Arabidopsis thaliana: one gene and its partners. The protein of the gene in region 3 interacts with the protein of the main gene of each other region in a pairwise test. Each region holds a gene or a part of one and is shown on either strand. Other genes may lie near its edges.

Region 1 (4,816 bases), on a different chromosome or scaffold from region 3:
GAAATGTAAAGTAAATGCTGACAGCTAAAGAATGACTGGGGAGTAACAAAATAGAATGTGTGAATCGTGATTGACTTTTGGTGGTCCGGGTTTGCTAGCAAATACTACTATGACACATTCAAATAGATTCAAATATATATATATTTTAAAATATAGAACTATATCTATATATATATGTACATATATATATACCACTAAGTTTTACATGGTGGTGACTTAAGTTTCAAGTTTATTAGTTTTGGGTAAGAGTCTAAGAGATAAATTATTCATTTGGTTTGAAAAGCCACACTAAAAAGATGAAATAACCGTTTTCTGAGAGGGGAAACAAAAACTCTACAACAACTTTTTTTTTTTGGGAAACTGAGAGAGTGGCAAATAAAACTTCTCATTAAACTCGGGGCCTTATTAATAGCCAAAATAGTTCTGAAGAACAATTAATGATGGCAATTTATGTTTTGTTTGTTCAATGTAGAGAAGGTTGTGAGGGCCCGCACGAGCACCAACGAACAGAACACGTGTGTGGACGACCATTGGGCCTTGCCTTTGACAAATCCACTGGTGACCTTTATATAGCCGATGCTTATATGGGCCTTCTTAAAGTTGGCCCAACAGGTGGTGTCGCCACTCAGGTGTTACCACGTGAGCTAAATGAGGCCCTTCGATTTACCAATTCTTTGGATATCAATCCACGGACCGGAGTTGTCTACTTTACCGACAGTAGTTCGGTTTATCAACGGAGGTACAAAATTCTTGGAAATTTAATGAAAAACATGTTTTTATATGAGTGAAAAAGATCATTGTTTATATGTTTTTTTTTTTTGTTTTGTTTATATGATGCATTATTAGTACGTAAATTGTTTTTTTTTTCCAGGAACTATATAGGGGCGATGATGAGTGGGGACAAAACTGGTAGACTGATGAAGTACGACAACACGAAACAAGTGACCACTCTTCTAAGCAACTTAGCGTTTGTAAACGGTGTCGCTTTAAGCCAAAACGGTGATTACCTTCTCGTCGTCGAGACCGCCATGTGTCGTATCTTACGTTACTGGCTCAACGAAACGTCGGTAAAGTCTCAATCTCACGATAACTACGAGATTTTCGCGGAGGGGCTCCCTGGGTTTCCAGACAACATAAAGAGAAGTCCACGTGGCGGATTCTGGGTAGGCTTGAACACAAAACACTCAAAGCTGACAAAGTTCGCCATGTCGAACGCGTGGCTTGGACGTGCCGCTTTGGGCCTGCCGGTGGATTGGATGAAGGTCCATTCGGTTTGGGCCAGGTACAATGGGAACGGCATGGCCGTGAGGTTGAGCGAGGATAGTGGCGTTATATTAGAGGTATTCGAAGGTAAAAATGAAAATAAGTGGATATCTATAAGTGAGGTTGAAGAAAAAGATGGAACTCTTTGGGTTGGATCGGTGAATACTCCTTTCGCTGGCATGTATAAAATCTAAAATTGAGTAATACAAATATGTTTTTCCAACAATATGATTCATATATAGATAATTAGACGATACATCCCCCCTCCCCCTATTCTTATTTTTTAGGATAACAACTAATAAGTCCGTTTAGTACCACTTTATATTGTGCTAGGTAGCTACATGCATGCCTTTTGATAATTTAAACTGTGAACAAAATATTAATATTAAAACAGTTATTATTTATAACATCCACGAGAAAAACACCTCATAACCAAAAACCATTAATGAACCTTTGGTTTCTTTCTATTGAGCTCTCTCTAGGTATCTTACTTAGGCACCATGCTTCTTTTATTTATACATACATACGGTAATTGACCACTGCATGCATACAAACATATAGAGTTTGTGTTACATGCGAAATCATGGCTTAGCTTCTTCCTTCTGAGGCTCAACAGTTTTTACAACTTCGTTGGCCTCGGCTTGACTGCGGCAACAGTATATGCACAGTCCATTCCACCAGTACCCACCGCAACATCCGAACCTACAACCACCACCAGGCAAGCCTTGCTGGGGCTCTACAACAGCGTCATTGACCTCGACTTCGGCTTCTATAGCATCAGTTGCTTCAGTACTCGGCTTCACTTCTTCTTTAACTGCACGTGTGATATACATGTTATACACCATGGATCAAATATTTAATCATCTGTTACCAAAAAAAATAAAAATTTAATCATGCGAAAGTGTGAAGGGAAATTATATTATATAGAGTTGCACACACCATGTGTGGCATCGTTGGATGTGTCCGCAATAACAGCAAGGGAGAGAGAAAAGAGCAAAGCCACGAGAACGAGAGACATGAGGTTTCCCATTTTTTGTTTTCGTTACACAAAACACTTAGCTTATTTGGTTTATTGAGGGAAGATGATTTTGTTAGTGAAGTGTATGATGAGCACAGCACATGTATTTATAGTTGGGCAGCAAAACTTGGGGACAAGATACCAGTCAACTTTGTCGCGTGATCGAAGATAATGGCATATATATTTATAGGGATATTTCTATAACGAAAATGTTAAAAAAAAATTATATGATCTTTAGAGACCATATATAATAGATCTGATCATAACCTATCGTGTTTACACGTGTCCACCAGTGGTCACAAAGTCCTATTCTTGGACTTAAAAGTTCAAACCCACCGTTCGAAATGATAATGTTAGCTTCTATCCATTCCAAAAACGACCGTTCGTCCGTTCGGCCTTGCCTTTGACAAATCCACTTGTGACCTCTATATAGCCGATGCTTATACGGGCCTTCTTAAAGTTGGCACAACATGTGGTGTAACCAATCAGGTTTTGTCATGTGAGCTGAATGAAGCCCTTCGATTGACCAATGGATAGGATATCGATCCACGGACCGAAGTTATCTACTTTATAGAGTTAAAATTATCTTATATTATCTTAAACAAAGAACATGTTTATACTTTATATTAATAAAAGGAGCATGTTTATATGATGGATTAGCTCGTAATTGTTAATTTAATTGATTAATTGAGGGATAGTACGATGAGTGGAGACAGAATCGGTAGACTAATGAAGTATGACCCAACTACGAAACAATTGACCACTCTTCCAAGTTCTAAGCAACATAGCATTCGCAGGCATCGTTTGGAGTAAAAACGGTGATTACTTTATAGTTGTCGATCGATGCCACCACGTGTGGAATCCTATATTACTGGGTTAACGTCTAAATTTTAGGAAAACTACTAAATTTTTGTGGAAAGGCTTTTGGGGTTATCCGACAACAGAAATAGATCCAGAATTCGGAGTAGCCGGGTAGGCATATTGAACATGTGGCTTGGAACTGCCAGTGGACTGGATCCATTCGGTTTGGGCCAAGTACAAAAGGAACGACATCGTCGTGAGGTTGACCGAGAGTAGTGGCGTAATTTCGAATAATTTCGGAAGTTTTGGAAGGTAAGAAATGAAACCACAAAAAAAATGAAAATACAAATAAAAAGAAACATGAAAATAATGTAAGTGGATAACTGGGTATATCTATTTGACCATCCTCATTCAACAATTTTTCACAAATATCTTTCACGAAAAATAATAGTAAAGTTAAAAATATCCCAAAAATAGGAGTTTTAAATGTCTCTAAGAAGACACAGTTCTCATTTAAATACACTCATATTTTTACTCTCTTTTTTCATAAAATATTGATGTTTACGTGTTTGTAGTTTGTTACATAAAGATTGATTTTTTAGGTTTTTACTTTATTTTTATTAATTAATATTAATAAATCTTAGATTTTAAGACATAATGATTAACTATTTTATACTACAATTAGTTCAAAATTGTTAAAAAATATTTAATTTTTAAAAATGATTAACCAATAATTAAACAATGATTATTTTTGAATATATGTGAAAACTCTAGAACATCAAACTTTTTAGGAATACAGAAAATGTTTTTTTATATATTTAAAACTATCCATTTAAAAACACCCATACAAGTAACTAATGTAGAAACTAAAATTGATTAATACAAATATACTTGATTCATACATAATTAGACGAGATATTCCCCTCGAATACATGATTTTACAGCAGCACCTTTAATGTTTACGATTTTATAGTAGAATCAGTTATTCTTTATTCTTAACTTTTAGGATAATAATTCTGTTTGGTTCCATTTTATATTAACCTATGGCTTTTATTGAGCTAGCTAGCTTAGCTACATGCATGCCTCTTCATAATTTAAACTGTGAACAAAATATTATAATCCATGGTATTAAAACAGTTGTTATTATTTGGGGATCTTTCTTTACTCAAATGATTAAGTCCATTTTATTCCGTTTTTCCTATCGGAATTTGACTTAACTCAATTGTGTTACCCGTATAATATGAATTGGTTATGACTCGAAATTTGTCAAAAAATAAATTAAAAAACAGTTGTTATTATTTATAACATCCACGAGAAAAGAAACACTACATAACAAAATACATATTATATGAACCTACGTTTTCTTTTATTGACCTCTAGGTACCTTCTTAGGTACTATTTTTGCTTTATTTTGACATACGTACGTAATGGTAATTAGCTATGCATGCATACAAACATAGAGAGTTTGTATTACACGCAATTCATGGCTTAGCTTGTTGGGCCTCAACAGTTTCCACAACCTCGTTTGCCTCGGCTTGACTCCTGCAACAGTATCTGCACCGTCCACGCCACCACCCACCGCAACATCCCCACCTACAACCACCACGGCCACCGCCACCACCACCGCCACCACCACGGCCACCCTGCTGAGGCTCAACATCGTTGGGCTCAACAGTTTCCACAACCTCGCTGGCCTCGGCTTGACTCCTGCAACAGTATCTGCACCGTCCACGC
Region 2 (6,690 bases), on a different chromosome or scaffold from region 3:
ACGTATCAATCAATGCACATTCTGATACTAATCAGAACACAAAAGACTTTGAATTCATCGGAGGTTAAACATTACACACCTAAGTAAAGAGTTAAGAATATGATTCCATCGTATTAAAATGTTCCACATTACTTGGGATTAAGATTTTTAGGTATTATATAAAGGATGTGGCAATCCTTAACTCTTGAGCTAGCTTTTGGGTTAAAGTTAGGTCACATTTCTAATATGCTATTAGAGCTCAAGGTTGGCCCAACAAGCAAATTCTCAGAAAAATGGTTTCACACCTATGTGGCTCATACAACTGGCATAAAAAATGGGACAAAATCTTTAGCTCTTAAGCTAGCTTTTAGGTGTGAGTTAGGCTCATACTAATATGGTATCAAATCCCATGGTTTCAATGTGTCTCAATTGTGGACCACCCGTGGATGTCCACTTCCACAAACTTCACGCTTCAGATGTCGAGTCCTGAGCGTGAGAGGGTGTGTTAGAATATGTCACATATCAAGAATTTGATAATTTGTGGAGCAATATATAAGTATGTGGTATACCTACTCAAAAGCTAGATTTTAGATTAAGTTAGACCACATTCCTAATACATTGAACTACCAGAAAAATGATATTAACTCAAATTGATTCTTCGTGTAATAAATAAAAATTGAATCTTTCGACTTCAAAAAAGTTCTATCTTCCTCGTCTTCTTCTTATGTGACAAGAACGAACAATCCTCCACTGACCCAAACACTCTTTTCGAAAATTTCAACAAATCTTCTTCTTCTTATTCTCCTATTCATTTCTTCATTTATCACTTCATCTCTGTCAACTCCGTCGCCGGCTGATTCTCCTCCTTATCTATGGCCGTTATCGACAGAGTTTTCGTTTGGAAACGAAACTCTCACGGTGGATCCCGCTGTGATCCTAATCGTAGCTGGAAATGGAGGTGGATCTTCTATTCTTTTTTGAAGAATTTAGATGTGAAACATGAGTAAAAAAAAAAGACCATAGGCGAAGCTTAGAGGTCGCCAGTTCGAGTGATGCTTGGGATGAAACTAATATTACATATTGTGGTTTCAGGTCTAGAACGATTATGGGTTTCAGCCCAGAACCTCCTGGTATTCAAAAAAAAAAAACCATGTAAAAAACTATGAATTTGGATGGGCTATCAGGCTTACAATATAATTTTCTGATTTCACGTAACCCAATTTTGTTTAATTGTTTTTATAAAAAATAATTGAAAAAATAAAAACCTATGTGGCAAATTTTATTGGTTAGGTGACTTGTGATATATAAGATAAAGAATTTGGAGCATTTGCAAAAATACTCATTTTCTTTTTTTTTTCAAAAATACCTTTTTCTATTGTCAATTTTTTAAATTATCCCTTGTATTTACAAAATAACTAAACTATCTTCTTTTTATTGATAACGAAAAAGTAAAAAAAAAAAGTAAAAATTCCCGCCAAGCGAAAGATGATCAATTCAACGGAAACAGAAAGTAAAAACTCCCGTTAAACGAAAGATGATCAATTCAACGGAAACAGAGACTCAAAACGATAGATGGATCATATGAATGCTCAAAATTTTAGATTTTAGAAATTGAAACAAACTCGCATATCCTTCAAACGTTTTTTTTTTTTTTCTAGAAAGCGTTCATAAGCTTTAAAATATTTTGCTGGCTTAAAAGTCAATATTTTGCTTGCTTAAAAAGTGACTTTATCGGTCGTCGATTATTGAAAATTGCCTTTACGTTGGGTTGAGCATTTAACATTGGACATTGATTTAGCGAACGACATAAAAAAAAACCGACGTCTTGTTCTTGTACAATACAACATCTCAACACAAAAGTTAAAAGAGTGATTTCTTTCACAACTTGTACATTACCAAAACAGTTATTAAAATAATGTTTTGTCGCTGCAGAGTTTAGCCTTCCAGGATTTGTTTCCTTTCGACCTCGATGAATTGTTTATTTATATGATAGCTTTTGGTGGCATTTTGGGTCTCATTCTCTCCCTTGCATTGCAGCAACTGCAATTGAAGACTCCTGACTAGCTCATTTAGCCTCTGGATATGTCTCTCTTGTGATATAATGATCTGTAAAAAACAGTGAACTTTGCTGTTAGATTTTGACGTTTCCCCTGAGACCACACTAAAATAAGGGCAGCCTTTTGTAGATGGTGACTGAAAATACCTAAGTGAGAACCATTCTACGAGCAGATGAAGTAAACAATCATCTGAAACTAACCTGGAATGTGTTATTATACAGATGAAAAAGAGTACAAGCCCATAACTTATATCATGTTGAGTCCCAAAAGCTACGAGCTACTAATCCATATATCTAACTTCATTTCAACTCTTGGATTTGCAGCTATTACAAGTGTCATTGTTGTCTAAATGAAAACTTGTGATCCTAGCATAGATAATGATAGCCTCAAGATGGATTAGCATGGAAAGATATAGATTACTAAGATGGAAGTTGGTAGAGAATACATTGAGATCAAGACTAAGTGGAAACCCGAGGTTACTCGATGGTACTAAAATATAAGATCAAAAGAAGTTATGTTTAATATAGTCATATAGTTTTGAATTCTTACTTATGCATCAGAGAAAACGCACTAAGCAATCCAAGCAAAGGATACAACACATTTTTGAGAAATCTTATTGAATTATTTCATACATAACAGCAGAGAGGAACAGAACAAGACACGGAAACCTATCCAAGAAAACATATAGAATCGTAGAAAGTCCAAGAAAACGTAATCAATTCAAAAACAATAGGTCAAATGGTAATCAATACACCTTCTAAGACAGCAACCCAAGGATTAAAAACTGATTTAATGAATGCATACACTTAGGTATGACGCCAAGCAACAGATATATAAAGATGAAGCGTAATCATCATGACACTAACGAAAGGTAACCAACCACTACATCTAGGCCATAAGGTCACCATCCCAAAACTATATCATGTATCTTACATACAACTAAACAAGCTCTTCTTTTAACGGGAAACCGCACAGAAACATGCATGAAAGAATTGGGAACCAGTGCCTTCCAATTGGATCCTTATAGTACTAAAATGTAAAATCAAAGAAGTTATGTCTAAATTAGTCTTATGAATTTTCCACTTCTCTCAATTAGTCTTATGCATAAGAGGAAAACCTACTAAGTAATCCAAGCAAACAGTTGAACAAAATTTTCAGTATTGGAGAATTCCAATACACAACCGCATAGACTAACAGAATAAGACACGAAATCCAATCCAAGAAATCGTTTAAAGTTGCAGAAAGTCCCATAAAAGATAATCAATGCAAAGAATAAAGTCGATTCAAAAACAACGTGGTTAAAAACTGATTTAGTTAATGAAAACATATGACCCTTAAGCACGACACTAAGCAACATATATATGAAAGTGAAGCTTCATTAACAAGACACTAAGGTACCCACTACACAGGGCATAATCCCAAAACTAGATGTTGTATACAACTACAATTCTCGTCTTCTAAAAGGAAACACACAGAGAAAGTTTGGAATCAGTACCTTCTCTTTGACAGCTTCTTCCCTATCTGAAATTTGCTGCTGTTTCTGAGACGAGCTAGTGGCTGTATCTAACTCAACAAGTGGTTGCCTCCATTCAAACTGAGAGGTAACTATAAGTATAACTAGTAGACACACGAGCAGGACCGGTTTCGACATTGTTTAATGTTTACTTCAGTTTTTAAAACACCTGCCACCCCAAACACCCAAAAGTTTTAGCCAATTCATAATCCAATACACTATTTACAAGCCTAGCAACTCAAAGACTACACATTTCCTTTGGATTCACAAAGCAATTTTAACTATTTCTAGGTAAAACAAAAGTGGTGGATTAACAAATTCAATTTTATTAATCCATCATCATCAAATTATATTTGGAAAGTTTCTAAAATCTGCAATTACTAAAGTCAAGCAATAACACATTTAAGACCTATCTATCAACTTGGGCTTTTATCGGCCTCTAAGATCAAAATTCAATTTTTCTTGTAACCCTTTTCTCAGAATCGACAAAAATGAAGACCCAGTGAAGCGATTAAGATAATCTTGAACTTACAAATCGAATTTGACCAGAGGAAGAACGAAACTTCATGATCGACCTCTTCCTCCGTTAGGTTCCGTGAATGGTGAAATTGAACGAGATCTTTCAAAAATCGAATTTTGAGATCGAATTCGCAATCAGAAACAGAGAAATGAGAGTTTTTGTGTTAGTAGAGAAATCCAAAAGCTGAGGTTTTTATTTGATTGATGATGAATTGCGCAAAATCTTTTCTTTACAAAAAAGAAACAGAACTAATGACGTTTCAGATTGACCCCATAATTTAATTTTTGTTCTGCTAAAAGTAATCCTAGATTTTATTACTTTTAGTAATTTAGCTTGAAATTTCAAATTGTCACAAACACCCCTAGTTCCCTACCCAACATTGTATTAATTGAGGAGATAAAGGTAGGAAACATATTATACAGAGATAATAAAGTTTATGTTTATAGACCAATTTTAGGCTAAGTCAAATATATGTGAAGTATTAGTATCATTATTTTCTTTTGGATATTTGATCTGTTACTTAAAAGATATTTTTAGCCATAACATAAAAACTCATTACTAAAAAAAATTATCTTTATGAAAGAGACTTTTAAGACAATTTAGAGAGAAAAATGTATTGTAAAACCCAAATTAAAGATTTGGAAAATAATAACTAAAACCCAAATAAATCGATCTCTATAATTCTATTATTGATATCATAGACTCATAGTAACAAAAGACTTTTATACTACATGAAAACAAAAGTTAGAATAGTCGGTTCTCTCTATTCTCTCTATTGAATCTTTCAAAGGAGACTCATTAAGTTTGTTGCCGTCCGGATCTTTTCCGGTTATCAAATCCCGTGTAACGGACTCTTTTCCAACATGCACCAGATTTTTAAGGTGTTTGGTTGGCTTTTATCCTACATCAATTGACTTTTACAGTCGAGATGATCAAGTTGGCTGTCGGCGTTTCTTGCTGCTTTGCTCTCGGTTGTTCATGACCGAATAAAGTTTATGTTGTGATGGTCAACTAGGTGCCCAAGCCATAGATTCTCGAAATCAAATTTTGATCCCTAGTTCTCATGCTTCCTCAAATCCTTCAGATTTAGCTTCTCTTCCCTAGGCCTTCAACCGATTTATCCACCTCTCTCATCTCTGAGATGAGTGATGTTGCGGTTAGACGGTTCCTTCAGTTTCCTCCAACAAGATTTCACAGTCAAATTTGGGTCAAGACCTGAAAAGTCTACTTCGGCTTATCGGTCTTCCATCAAATGAATCTCGAATTTACCGGTGTCAACATGTATTTGATGATTCCAAAGCTTCATCATCGAAGCCTCATCAAGTTGGGGTTGTAAGTAGATGTTTTGATTTCTTAAATCTAGTAATTATCAAGAGATGACGCGTAGTTCAGAGTTTTCCGGTGGTTGTAATGATCTCCGTCATCACTAACAAAATTCAGTTCAGAAAAGAAGTGGTGTTCACAGATGGCATCTCAATTGGAGCATTAGGAATTAACTTTTAGATTTTGTTTGTTTGATTCTGGTTTGGTACCTTTAATTGGCTTTTGTTTTTGTGTTTTAGATCTGAGGAATACTCGTTTCCGCCGGTTAAATATCTGTGGACTTACATGTGTCTTCCGGCTTTGTATCTTAAATGTGTGTTTTTTTTCCTTCGTTTGAAAGTGTTTGATTGTAAAAAAAGAATAAAGACTCATAGTAACACCAAGAAATACTACAAAGTGTAAAAGAAGTCCTCTTTAACTTGATAATTAAAACCAAAATAAAATATACATTTTCCACATCTCTTTTCTACCTGAAAATCTCATTGACAATGAATTTATAAAGATAGAAAAATCTACCTGATACAGAATTCATATATATCTCGAAAACCACACAGGTTCATATACTTAGAACACATAGATGCTACACGTAAACTAAGCCTAACAAGAACAACATATTCTCTCAACATTAAGAAAGAACCAAGCAAACTGCCTAGAAGATGTCTTCTTTAACCTCACACTAAATAAAACACCAACACGGCTATCATAACGAGTAACCAAACAACAACGTCCCATCGCGCTCGGTTTATAGACTTAATCGAGTAGATACCGATAAAGCAATTTGACATGGATATGTTGTTCTCTTCTCCAGTGTCATTTTGTAATGGTAGTTTCTGTAGCAACGATTGCATTTGTTTGTCTACCATGTCAGGTAAAGGTAGTACTCTTGTGGTATTGGACTCTGTTTGAAGCCTTGGTACATTGATCAGTGTATTACCGGATACCGCCGGATCATCTAGCTTTACTATTTCATCCCTCAGTATATCGGCATAGAAATCTTCTTCACTAGGAACCTTTAAACATGGAAAAATTCCTGGGAATCAAATCATGAATTTAGACCTCACCATTTGGGTTAATGTGCTATGTCAACCCGCAAATGCATCATGTGACATACTTAATGATACAAAGAACTAATTAAAAGAGGACCAACCTGTGGATTTTGTGAAGATTGTGAAGATTCTGCTATTTCACTAAGTAGTTCTTGCCCTGACTCACTTGATAAGTAGAAATCAACCATAGTTTCCCAACCATAAATACTTTCTGAAATAGCTTCATTCCGCAAGTTTACGTGCTTATCCAGT
Region 3 (6,626 bases):
AATAGCTAAACCGGACATTGCGGCTCCCGGTCTGAACATCCTCGCCGGATGGTCACCGTTCAGCAGCCCTAGCCTCCTCAGATCCGATCCAAGACGCGTCCAATTCAATATCATCTCGGGAACCTCCATGGCTTGTCCTCACATCAGCGGAATCGCCGCTCTAATCAAGTCCGTTCACGGGGACTGGTCACCGGCGATGATCAAATCAGCAATCATGACGACGGCGAGGATCACTGACAATAGGAACCGACCGATCGGAGATAGAGGCGCCGCGGGAGCTGAATCGGCGGCCACAGCGTTTGCGTTTGGAGCGGGAAACGTGGATCCCACGCGAGCGGTAGATCCCGGGCTGGTATACGATACCTCCACCGTCGATTATCTCAACTACTTGTGCAGCTTGAACTACACGAGTGAGAGAATACTCTTGTTCTCCGGCACTAACTACACGTGTGCTAGTAACGCCGTCGTTTTGAGTCCCGGTGATTTGAACTATCCCTCGTTCGCGGTCAACCTCGTTAATGGCGCGAATTTGAAAACGGTGAGATATAAGAGGACTGTGACTAACGTTGGGTCACCGACTTGTGAGTATATGGTGCACGTTGAGGAACCAAAAGGTGTGAAGGTGAGAGTTGAACCAAAGGTGCTCAAGTTCCAGAAGGCCAGAGAGAGGTTGAGTTATACGGTGACGTATGATGCAGAAGCTTCGAGAAATTCGTCTTCGTCTTCCTTTGGAGTTTTGGTTTGGATATGTGACAAATACAACGTCAGAAGCCCAATCGCCGTGACGTGGGAATAAATTTCGCATCTATTGATTGCCATTTTCATATTTATTATATACCAAAGAAACTTATTGAACAAAAGCTTACCCTAAACTTGTAAGAATTTGTCAATAAATCAAAACATCTCTTATTTACTATAATTTTTTTACATGAATTTTCCTTCTCTGTTGCAAGACCAGTCTACAGTATATAAAAAGCTGTTACAAGAGATCATAGCATTCGCTTGTCACAGATACCCTTCAACTTAATATATAAAAAGCTGATTAAGTCGTAAAACAACGATTTCTTGGTAGATATGAGTCTATGTAGTCATGATTATTACAAATATAAAAACAAATCCAATGCATAACAATAAAACAACGCAAAAGAAGATTCTGCTTGATCTTCTTTCCTGTCCTATAAAGAGTTGTTGCTAGATGAAGAACTAGAGAGAAAAAGATTCAGTTTTAATTTTCCACCTATAAATTGTTCAAAACATAAACAACAATAAACCCAAATGACAACGCAGATCCAGAAGACCCCCATGTAGAAAGCAAGTGAGTTCCAAGAATATGGCGAGGAAAGAAACTTACAATTAAAGGGAAGAACAGAGCCTTATCTTTAGCCACTCTTGACCCGTTCGAGTTCTTCTTCAGCTGTTTTTAACTGCAAACGCAATGTGTGTACTTTCCTCTCCAGCTCCTCTACATTGCTCCTGCTAGTGGTAGGATGGTACGGCGTCAAGAACTTATGTGAAAACGCCTTTAAGGCTTCAACCCCTGTCACCTGTGATCCAAACATCCACAACAAGTGTAAATCTCAGGATGTATATTATATAAGGCTTTAGTTTCATTTTCGTCTTGATCATGTTCCTTCTCATCTATATTGAATGTCATGCGTTCTTACCTCTTCCGGAAGCAGAGGAAGCTTTGTGATATTAAAGTCATCGTATAGCATATAAAACTGATCAAGATACTTCTGTTGCATCCGCATCCTTGCTCTGAGCAACTTGGACTCCACATCTACAGAAGACAAGTGTAGATAATTCGTCAAATTTGTATGTAAAACAAGTTCAAAACGAGAAGATAGACACGACAGCAAATAAATAGGCACCTTCGTCGTCGTATAGTACTTGGTTGATGATAATGTTATGCGTGTCAATCTCAAACTTGGCGAGTTCCTGAACAAGTCTCTCTGTTTCATAGAGAGACAAGAACTCGGGGATGCAGACACAAACGAACGTAGTCATATCCTACGTAATGGAGCCAAATGTGTCAATTTCTTATCTTAAAATGCAGAGTTTGTTAGATATGTATCAGAATTTTCACTAATGCAAATGAATGCTGTCAAACCGTATGCTACAGAACAATGTGAAGAATCTAAAACTAAACTTCACGAACAGAGTTAAGAAAACAGTCAATGAGTACTGAAAATAGCAAAGAACTTAAACAATTGAAAAAATGTTACCGGGTCTTTGAATTGCCGATTTACTTGCTCAATCACATCTTTCAAGCCCTCAAGTCTTCCCAGCAAAGCATCCTCTCCGAACTCATCCTCCATGCCAAACATACGGCTCATCTGCATTACCAATCAGTTCCATGAAAAATCAGCCAAAGAAGAAACCAAAGAGCAATATCTGTTGCCAAGCAAACTGAATTTGACAAGCTTAAAGACATGCCTGAGTCATCAAGCCACCAAATCTACTCTTCAATGACATCAACTTCGAAAGTCCCTTTTCTAGTGTGGCCGGAAACTGTAACAGGCGGAGAGTATGTCCAGTAGGAGCAGTGTCAAACACAATAGTAGCATAATCCATTGTTTGCACCAACCTAAGGAAACATAAACATATCAAAATTTGACTGTGATAATACATGGATAAAGGCAGATGATTACTAGAAGAACTAAATGGCTATTTACTTCAACATCTCAGCAAAACTCATAGCCTCATCGATTCCAGGAATCGCATTTGCCAAATCAGAGAATAAACCATCCATCCCGTCTGTACCAGCCATGTCATCAGTTTCAACGGTAGGATCTACCTCCTGAGAAAAGCAAACAAGATTCACTCACTATCAAGAGGGAAGGAGTGTGAATCGTAACCATTTGCTTATAGTATGTGTATATATATACATATACACACAGACACAACTAAGAGCTTCAAGCTTAGAAGAGTAGCCATAAAGTCATCATCAAGCCTGTCTATTAGAGGCGACCCAGAACCACAAAAAACAACTTTTTTTTTTTTTTTTGAATTTGGCATAACTAGCCATGAATTTTAACTACAATAGACAAAAATTCGATTTGATTTGGGGACATCAAATCTTCTTCACAATCCCCTTCCGTATCAAGAATACAAATTGGCGTCCAAATTCCAAACCTAATCCCCAAAATCAGAGTGGGCATATGATAAGAAAGGCACAAATCAACCGTATTTATGCAAGTACTAAATCTGACTTCAAAATCAAAATTGATCCATCAATCTGCGGTTTGAAATTCGTGAATCAGAGAACCCTAATTCCCAATGAGATTAAAATCCAGGAGCGAAACTACCAAATTCCCTCTAAAATCTAGCACGATCTAGAACAAAATCGGAGAAAGCTTACCATGGCAAAGAGATTAGAGAAACCTTGAACCAAAGTGGGAGATTTAGTGAAGCGTTGCTGAAAGGCATCACTAAGATTGTGAGCAGGATCGGTGGAGATGATGAGAACGGAGGATCGAACACTGGCGAGACAAATTGCGAGAATTGAACTGCATGTCGTCTTCCCAACACCTCCTTTACCTCCGACGAAAACCCATTTAAGAGACTCTTGGTCCAGAATGTTCTGTACTGTCGCCTCCGGCAAATCCGCCGCCATTGCTAATTCCTTGCTCGTCTCTCTTCCACTAGTCTCAATCTAAAGAGCTCCTTGTTAGATATTTGGCGTACGGAAGAGTTTAACTGCGGCGAGAGACTTTTAACGCCGCCCGGTTCAATATTTTGGTTCTCGGTTTTGGGATATCACAGCAGTCTTGGTTTGATTTTTTTGGTTATCGTTTTTCACTTGTTCAATTTTTCTTTTTTTGTTAAAAATTTAAATTTGGTGTGTTTAAGTTCATAAACGCTAAATAAGCCCATACAAAAGCCCACATAGATGAAGCCATTACGACAGCGTATTGTGAGTTACGATTGAAAACCCCTCTCTACTCGGTTAAACCCGTCGCCGGCATATTGATCTTCGCCGGAGGATATGGCGATTTCAGAAGAAGAAGCCAAACTCGAAAGGTTCCTAGATTGGCTTCAGGTTAGATCCGGATTAAGTGTTGTTTTTCAGTCCTGATCTGCTGCTCTATATCATGGCATTTTGTGTTTCGATCTAATTTCATTCAGGTGAATGGAGGTGAATTAAGAGGCTGCAACATCAAATATTCTGACTCCCTAAAAGGATTTGGCATATTCGCTTCCACCTCCACTCAAGCTTCCGATGGTATAGTATTGTTCTTACCATTTCTTGCTGGGTTTTTTTCCGGGGAATATGTATGGAAAGTTGATATTGAATTCTGATTCAGCTCTGGAAATTTTCAGAAGTTTTGCTTGTTGTTCCGCTTGATCTGGCCATTACCCCTATGAGAGTTCTTCAGGACCCTCTCCTGGGCCCTGAGTGTCAGAAAATGTTCGAACAAGGACAAGTTGATGACCGCTTTCTCATGATTCTGTTCCTCACTTTGGAGCGTCTTCGTATCAATTCTTCTTGGAAGCCGTAAGTTTTTTTTTTAATCTCTTAGCACACATTTACGTAAGCTTAAGGGTATTCATCTGTCTAGAAATGATATGATAGGTATCTTGATATGCTTCCTACTCGATTTGGCAATCCTCTTTGGTTTTCTGATGATGACATCCTTGAGCTAAAAGGGACTAACTTGTATCACGCAACCGAGTTACAGGTCTCAATCTTGATCATTTATTCCTGTCTTATCATATCGTCCTTAAAATAGCAACCACATTTTCTCTTTTCATTTATTAAACCCAATAACCATCGTGTATTCATTCTCAGAAGAAGAAGTTGCTCTCGCTTTACCATGACAAGGTGGAGGTCCTGGTGACAAAGCTTCTTATTTTGGATGGCGATTCCGAAAGGTTGACATATTTACACTACTTTTAGACCAAATTATTGTTCATTGATAATCATATTTTGTTTTCTCTCTTCGTGCAGCAAGGTCTCCTTTGAACACTTCCTCTGGTATGTTTGGTACTGGTGTTATTCCTTGTTAGTAGAACCAGACTTTTGTGTCTTGTAAAGGGCTGCTTAGTGATCTTGCGACTTTTTTCAATTATGCCAGGGCAAACTCTGTATTCTGGAGTCGCGCCTTGAATATTCCTCTTCCACATTCTTTCGTGTTTCCACAAAGCCAAGATGATACCGGGGAATGCACATCAACAAGTGAGTCCCCTGAAACGGCTCCAGTTAATTCTAATGAGGAAAAAGGCAAGTCATTAACGTCGGTCTGCTGAATTCTGTGTGAAATGCCTCTTTTTTAATTATTATTATTCTATCATGTAACGACAATTTCATGGGTTTCTTCATTTTCTGATGGGTAGAAATTCAGGCTCAACCTGCGCCATCTGTAGGATCCGGAGATACAATATGGGTTGAGGGGCTTGTTCCTGGCATTGACTTTTGCAACCATGGTATGCCAATCTTTGTTTCAAAAAGACTCTATTATCAGTTTCTCCGTTCCATAATGTTGATATGGTTAATGAGTATATCCCAGTGTGATGTGATATAATGACCTATGGTTATGGCAGTATAGATTTGAAGCCTGTGGCGACTTGGGAAGTTGATGGGATCGGATCAGTATCTAGGGTTCCTTTCTCCATGTACCTTCTCTCTGGTTGGCCAAATATTTGTTTGTGTTACCTCTCAGCTTTCTACAATTTTTCAATCAAACAATACAGAACATTCTTTTTCCTCTCTTCTTTTTGATCTGTATGCGGAAAACTAAGTGCTACAATTCTGTAAAGCAGTTGCTCAACGTCCTATCCCAAAGAAGGAGATCTCGATCAGTTATGGTAACAAAGGAAATGAGGTAAGATGTTTTGCAGCTATCTTGTACAACTATATAACTTGTCTCTTGGTAAAAAATCACATCTAGCCCTTTGTTTGAGTGATGTGCCTTCTTGCTGAATGCAGGAGCTTCTTTACCTGTATGGCTTTGTGATAGATAACAACCCAGATGATTATCTCATGGTAATATTTACATCCATCAACAGTTCCCTACCTTTTCAACCAGTGATGTATTATAGAAGTCTTGAGAATGATGACGAGAAACATAACTTTCAAGATCAAGGAGATGCTCGTCAATTTTGTTCTCACATCTGTTGTTACGTTTAACAATGGATTTATTCAGGTACATTATCCTGTTGAGGCAATTCCGAGTATCCCTTTTTCTGATTCCAAGGGGCAGCTGCTTGAAGCTCAGGTTAGCAGTACAAGTCTTCGCACTATCTTACCCGAAGTTTTGATTATAGACCCTATAAGACAATGTAGCTCTTTAATACATTTATTTCCATGTAATATGTAACTGTCGAACTCTAAAAAATATCATTGCAGAATGCACAACTCCGGTGTCTCTTGCCAAAATCGGTCCTAAATCATGGGTTTTTCCCACGAACCACATCAGTAATTAGAGAAAGTGATGAGAAGGAAACAGTGAGATCCTGTAATTTCAGTTGGTCTGGGAAGCGTAAGATGCCCACATATATGAACAAACTAGTTTTCCCAGAAGATTTTATGACTGGCTTAAGGACCATTGCAATGCAAGAAGAAGAGATTTACAAGGTCTCAGCTATGCTTGAAGAGGTATGATCACCGTTTTTTCTTTCTTCTG
Region 4 (5,439 bases), on a different chromosome or scaffold from region 3:
TATGGAAAGTCTTGTGGAGCAGTTGAAATCCATCAAGAAGGATAAGTTTTCTTGTAATGATAAGTGGTTAACCCTTAAGCTTCAAATCAACAAAAACTTTGAGGTAACGCTTGTTGATTACGAGATCCTGAACAAGATATTTTGGGATATATAATTGTGAGCGATTGATCGATAGTAAGATTTCGGATATATATTGGGACTTTATCTGAAAACACTAAACAATAAGTCGTAAATTGGGAGTACGTAAAAACATTAAGGGTCTAAATGAAATAAAACCTATAATATAACTAGGTTTAGTGACGTGGCATGCACACGTAGATTAAGCAATGCCTTGGCAACACGTATGCAAAAACCCATATGTGTGCACCTGTGAAGTGTTCCAATAACAATTCAAAAGCTCCCTGAGCAAGTGAGAAGAGACCACACTGAGAAGAAAAATCCTTCAGGTTATCGAAAATTCCCGGATTTTACTCTTTGGGCGGTGGCCGATTTCTTACGCGCTCTTTTTGTGGCGACTGTTGTATACGCGCGAGCCTTCATGGACACGAAGGCGGTTGGAGTTTCTAAGGATACGGCGGCGTCGATGGAAGCGTCGACGGTGTTTCCTGGGTTTAAATTCTCGCCGACGGATGTGGAGTTGATTTCGTATTACCTGAAGCGGAAGATGGATGGCTTGGAGAGGTCCGTTGAGGTTATACCGGACCTTGAGATTTACAATTTCGAGCCTTGGGATTTACCCGGTTTGTCTTCGAATTCGAACCAATTGATTCTTTTGTGTCTTTCTTCTACTTGGAATTTGATTTTGTTGTTCTTCAGGCTTCAGGAGAGATCTCTATTTTGGGTGCCTAAGATATAAAGTTTCTATTTTTTGGCTCTTGGATTGGAATTGACAATTTTTTTTGTGTGTTTGTTCTTTGCAGATAAGTCGATTGTGAAATCTGATAGCGAGTGGTTCTTCTTCTGTGCGCGTGGGAAAAAGTATCCACATGGTTCACAGAACAGGAGAGCAACGAAGATGGGATACTGGAAAGCAACTGGGAAAGAGCGTGATGTGAAGTCTGGTTCTGAGGTCATTGGAACAAAGAGGACGCTTGTTTTCCATATTGGTCGTGCACCAAAAGGCGAAAGAACTGACTGGATTATGCACGAGTACTGCGTGAAAGGAGTATCTCTGGTAAAACTGTTCTCGAGAGTTTGTTTTTTCTTATAGATTAATTGTTAACCATTACATAAGAGGTGGTGACTTTGGCTACTTTTTGAGTCTCTAAGAGGAATACAGTAAAATTTTAGGAGTTTTGTCTTTGGCTTGAGTTGATTGATTATGTTTATGTAAATTCTAGGATGATGCTATGGTTGTTTGCCGGGTTAGGAGGAACAAAGAATACAATAGTGGTACAAGTCAGAAGGCACCAAAGCCAAATTCATCAGCCGAGAAGCATGCGAAAGTCCAAAATGGCGCTACGAGTTCAGGGAGCCCGTCTGATTGGGACAACTTGGTTGATTTTTACCTAGCAGGTGAATCAGGGGAGAAACTACTCGCTGAGATGGCAGAGTCATCAGAAAATCTACAGGTTTTGTCACCTGGCTTCTAATTGTTGTATGATGGTTCTTGATTGTTGTCGTTCTTCTTAATGAATGTTATGTGTGTGTGGTTTAGGTGGATAATGACGAGGATTTCTTTGCGGATATCCTAAGAGACGAAATCATCAATCTCGATGAAGCGGTGATGACAGGGAACACACCAAACGAAGTGCCAACACTAGAATCAGCATCAATGGAGATAAGGGTACTTCCTTTACCAAACATGATAGACAAACAAATGTCATCACTGTTAGAGGAAAGACCATCACAGAAGAAGAAAGGAAAAGACGCCACGGAATCATTGTCGAGCTGCTTCGTGGGTTTATACTCGATCAAATCAGTGAACAAGGCACGATGGGATGTTATTATAGGTGTAGTGGCTCTGATAGCAATGTTGTTTTATCTAGAATAAGAGGCTTATGGAAGTAGCGAAAAACAGTGTCCTAGCTATGTTTGTATCATCTTTTCTCGGACATTGACAAGGATTATATGATGTTTTTGTGTAAACGGTTTATGTTTTACACTTCTACTTCAAATCTGTGCAACCAAATCAAAACCTGAAATATCAAGCACAGAAGAACTAGTGGATATAGTTTTTACACTTCAAGGCTTATTAAGTGGTGTGTTTAATGAGAATCAGAGAATGGATAAATGATGGGGGCAAATTAGTAAATGACTATTTTCCAAATCCGTACTGTTTATCTTTCTCGTCCAGATGGTTGTTGCACTAAGATTTGTAGAATTTTCTCGCCGCCATTAAACCTCTGCTTTTGTTTCTTTCTCTCTTCTTCTATACGAGAACCCATTTTGGAGAAGTCAAGTTTCCTCAATACTCCGTCAAGCCGATTTTATTGATCTCGATCAGTTTCGTCAATTTTTCCGGTTTAAGAAACCCTAGAAAAGCTGATGATTCGATAATGAAGTTTGATTTCACTGTGATAAATCGATCTGTAAGTTGGAGATACTTAATCGTCTTCGTTATATCTTCTACGATGCTTCAATTTTGCTTTGTTGTGCTGAGGAAATTCAGTTTTTCTGTAGTATGTGTTATTTGCTTATCCTTAGTAAGTTAGTTACATATGAAGGAGATTCGTATTGAAACCCTAGGTCATTGATTTGATGGAGTTGCTTTTTATAGTATCAGCTTACACTGTTTACATTGTTCTACTTTTGGTTTTTAATTAGAAAATTTGAAGTGAGTAGGTGAATTTTAAGTCGCATCGATCTCATTTTCGATATATGTCTCAATTCGATTAGGCGTGGTCTTTGGATGTGTGTTTAGGATGGTATGAAATGGATTGATTGTGAAATTTGGAACAGGTTTTGTAAGAGCTGAATAGAAAATGTCGAGGCCGATCATGCTAGTCTTTCTTCTGGTTATACTTATAGTCACTTCTCAGTTTGAATGGAGGCAACCACTTCTTGAGCTTGATGCAGCTCCTAGCTTGTCTCAGAAACATCAGCAAATTGCAAAGAGGGAAGAAGCTGTCAAGGAGAAGGTACTTACTTCATTCTTAAACTCTTTTTCATTGAAGTTTTGTGTGTTCAGTTGTATGAGAAAGACCTGAGAATTCGTTTTGGGATTGTGACTTATAGATTAGTACAACTGTAGCAGAGATATGCATAATTGGATAGTGTCAGTTAACTTAGAATGCTCTGATGCTTAAGATTCCTATATCTGCTTCACTTGCCTTTTGAGTCAATCTATAACTATGCCTTAGTAGTTGTGTTGTTGACTTTATCCTCGACATTCTAGTCTCATGAGTCTCTGGACAAACATTCTTTGTAACTGGCTTTCATATCTCTATCTTCTTCTTTTTGAGAATGTCTATGGAATCCATCAATGACTGATCTGAGTTTTTAATGTTGCATAGAAATATTCGGGGTTTTTTTGCCTTCTGTTGTGTTTTCCCTGATTGCATCAAATAGATGAGGTTAGTGGAGAAACATAGACTTATTGGTCTTGCAACCTTAAAGTTCCATTGGATGTATGACGAACCTCATAACTTCAGCATAATTTTGAACCTGAAAATAGAAGAAGACCTGTCAATTCTTAGTTTGTTAATCGTTACAGATCATCTTGTCACAAGAGAGACATATCCAGAGGCTAAACGACCTTGTACGAAGTCTTCAAATGCAGTTACAGCGATGCAAAGGAGAGAACGAGACACGAAACGCCACTGAAACCTCCCATAATAACAAACAGTTCATTGAGCTCGAGAGGAAACACATCGTGGAAGACTAGTATTTCCTCCGGTTACATCAATTCTAATAAATAACCCAAATGGTACGTAAAAACTGTTGTAATTTACTTTTGTTGTGTTAAAAACCTTGCTGATGTTTTGATTAGAAGGATGATTTACTTTATTCACGTGTAAGATTGAGATATTTAAGTACTTGTAATAAAAGTTGAGAATTAGGGTACTTGTAATATCTTTAGTTATGGTTGATTGATTCTATCATTGTCGATGTCTTGGTATAGTCAAACTTTGGTTGTGTGTAGTTAGATTTTTACTTTGACTGATGAGGCTAACGAAAGTCTAAGATGACAAAAGCAATCTTATGTCATATTCTTTCCATGATTTCATCACTAGTCAGAGCCTAAATAAATCTCTTATTAGACACCAACCACAACTCCATATTTGTTCTAAGTCAAACAAAACCAAATCTCCCATGAATTTTCACATACTCATTTATTATTCTTCCATTTTACTATTTGGCATTCTAAAAGTCAATAATATTAACAGTCAAAAGCCATTCATCTGTTTTTGGTCAATCTTTCTATCATTTGTTGGCCGTGCGTCTAGCCGTCAAGCTATCCAAATTCATATTCACCAATACTTATCAATTTTTCAACAATAATTTTCGGTTTATTAAAAAAAGTATCATCATATACGACTTTAGAAATCTAATAATATCAACTACCCATTAAACTACAATTTGTTTTTGTCAACACCGATTTTAACTACATTACAACCTTCCAAGTTTGAAACAAATGCATTGTCTACTTCTTCCCTCTCAATTTGAATTTCGATTTTCATACTAATAATATGATGATTTATGAAAATGGACAAAAATATCTCCTTTGTAATTATCCAAATACTATTTGGTAATAAATGCAATTTCAAAGCACAAGTCATATACTCAATCTTTTGCATACTATTATTTTCAAATTACATTTATTGCTTACAAACACCTCATATTATAATTATTTTCTACAAGAATATTTATTTTGAAAGCTAGATGAAACTAATCCTACTAATTCATTAATATACATTCAATGAGACCCTCTCTCATCTTGCGTGTATCTTCTCCTCTATCTATATATATATAACAGCCACTAACATGCAGACATCAAACTATCTCTCTTTAAATCTCAAGAACAAGAACTAAACTACTACTAGTCTTCACCAAGGTAAAGCTACTTTGGAACCCGAGAACCAAGTTAATTTGTTCTCATCGAATTTTTTTTGTTCTCATATGTTGAAATTTTGTTATTGTCATCTTCACTTTTTGATTGATCGATAGAAAAATAAGTATTCAATTGATCAATTCTTTTTATATATATACATGTTTTATAAACCATGGATCTCCATCTAAAGTTTTGTTTTACTGTGTTTCTTATTCTGATTCTTGTAGAATAATATATCAACACACATAGTATACTCTTCTTGGAAGGCAAGGAACATGAATCAAGAAGCTGCGAGTAACCTTGGACTTGATCTGAAACTAAATATTTCACCGTCGTTGGATTCATCTTTGCTCACTGAGAGTTCATCGTCATCGTTATGCTCGGAGGAAGCTGAGGGTGGAGGAGGAGAGGCTAAATCAATGGTGGTCGTTGGCTGCCCTAATTGC

The links.
Region 1: the proteins of AT1G01910 (region 3) and M10 interact in a two-hybrid assay, tested with the Arabidopsis thaliana proteins (one large-scale study listed by BioGRID).
Region 2: the proteins of AT1G01910 (region 3) and AT3G44280 interact in a two-hybrid assay, tested with the Arabidopsis thaliana proteins (one large-scale study listed by BioGRID).
Region 4: the proteins of AT1G01910 (region 3) and AT5G22280 interact in a two-hybrid assay, tested with the Arabidopsis thaliana proteins (one large-scale study listed by BioGRID).

What each region holds. Positions count from the first base shown.
Region 1 is NC_003071.7:17,207,240-17,212,055, reverse strand, and holds M10 (late embryogenesis abundant protein (M10) / LEA protein M10), read right to left. Parts: upstream 2,360-4,816; 5' UTR 2,294-2,359; coding exon 2,203-2,293; intron 2,078-2,202; coding exon 1,845-2,077; 3' UTR 1,633-1,844; downstream 1-1,632. Other genes in the region: SSL2 (strictosidine synthase-like 2), read left to right, coding at 473-739, 872-1,457; M17 (glycine-rich protein / late embryogenesis abundant protein (M17)), read right to left, coding at 4,564-4,816. UniProt on the Arabidopsis thaliana protein: May be involved in the acquisition of desiccation tolerance during late phase of embryogenesis.
Region 2 is NC_003074.8:15,966,846-15,973,535, forward strand, and holds AT3G44280 (peptidyl-prolyl cis-trans isomerase G), read right to left. Parts: upstream 4,353-6,690; 5' UTR 4,082-4,352; intron 3,719-4,081; 5' UTR 3,688-3,718; coding exon 3,532-3,687; intron 2,226-3,531; coding exon of another isoform or gene 2,199-2,225; exon of another isoform or gene 2,086-2,198; coding exon 1,915-2,085; 3' UTR 1,670-1,914; downstream 1-1,669. Other genes in the region: NAC060 (NAC domain containing protein 60), read right to left, coding at 6,064-6,402, 6,540-6,690.
Region 3 is NC_003070.9:312,216-318,841, forward strand, and holds AT1G01910 (P-loop containing nucleoside triphosphate hydrolases superfamily protein), read right to left. Parts: upstream 3,876-6,626; 5' UTR 3,617-3,875; coding exon 3,362-3,616; intron 2,801-3,361; coding exon 2,676-2,800; intron 2,588-2,675; coding exon 2,437-2,587; intron 2,337-2,436; coding exon 2,226-2,336; exon of another isoform or gene 2,011-2,225; coding exon 1,872-2,010; intron 1,781-1,871; coding exon 1,665-1,780; coding exon of another isoform or gene 1,657-1,664; intron 1,545-1,656; coding exon 1,380-1,544; 3' UTR 939-1,379; downstream 1-938. Other genes in the region: SBTI1.1 (subtilase family protein), read left to right, coding at 1-796; AT1G01920 (SET domain-containing protein), read left to right, coding at 3,989-4,042, 4,129-4,225, 4,324-4,498, 4,577-4,682, 4,793-4,875, 4,952-4,978, 5,079-5,241, 5,346-5,427 and 5 more. UniProt on the Arabidopsis thaliana protein: ATPase required for the post-translational delivery of tail-anchored (TA) proteins to the endoplasmic reticulum. Recognizes and selectively binds the transmembrane domain of TA proteins in the cytosol.
Region 4 is NC_003076.8:7,372,598-7,378,036, reverse strand, and holds AT5G22280 (peptidyl-prolyl cis-trans isomerase G), read left to right. Parts: upstream 1-2,317; 5' UTR 2,318-2,498; coding exon of another isoform or gene 2,499-2,531; intron 2,532-2,901; 5' UTR 2,902-2,924; coding exon 2,925-3,080; intron 3,081-3,510; coding exon 3,511-3,765; coding exon of another isoform or gene 3,766-3,826; 3' UTR 3,827-4,042; downstream 4,043-5,439. Other genes in the region: NAC089 (NAC domain containing protein 89), read left to right, coding at 539-740, 921-1,174, 1,341-1,571, 1,658-1,993; AT5G22270 (uncharacterized protein), read left to right, coding at 5,269-5,439.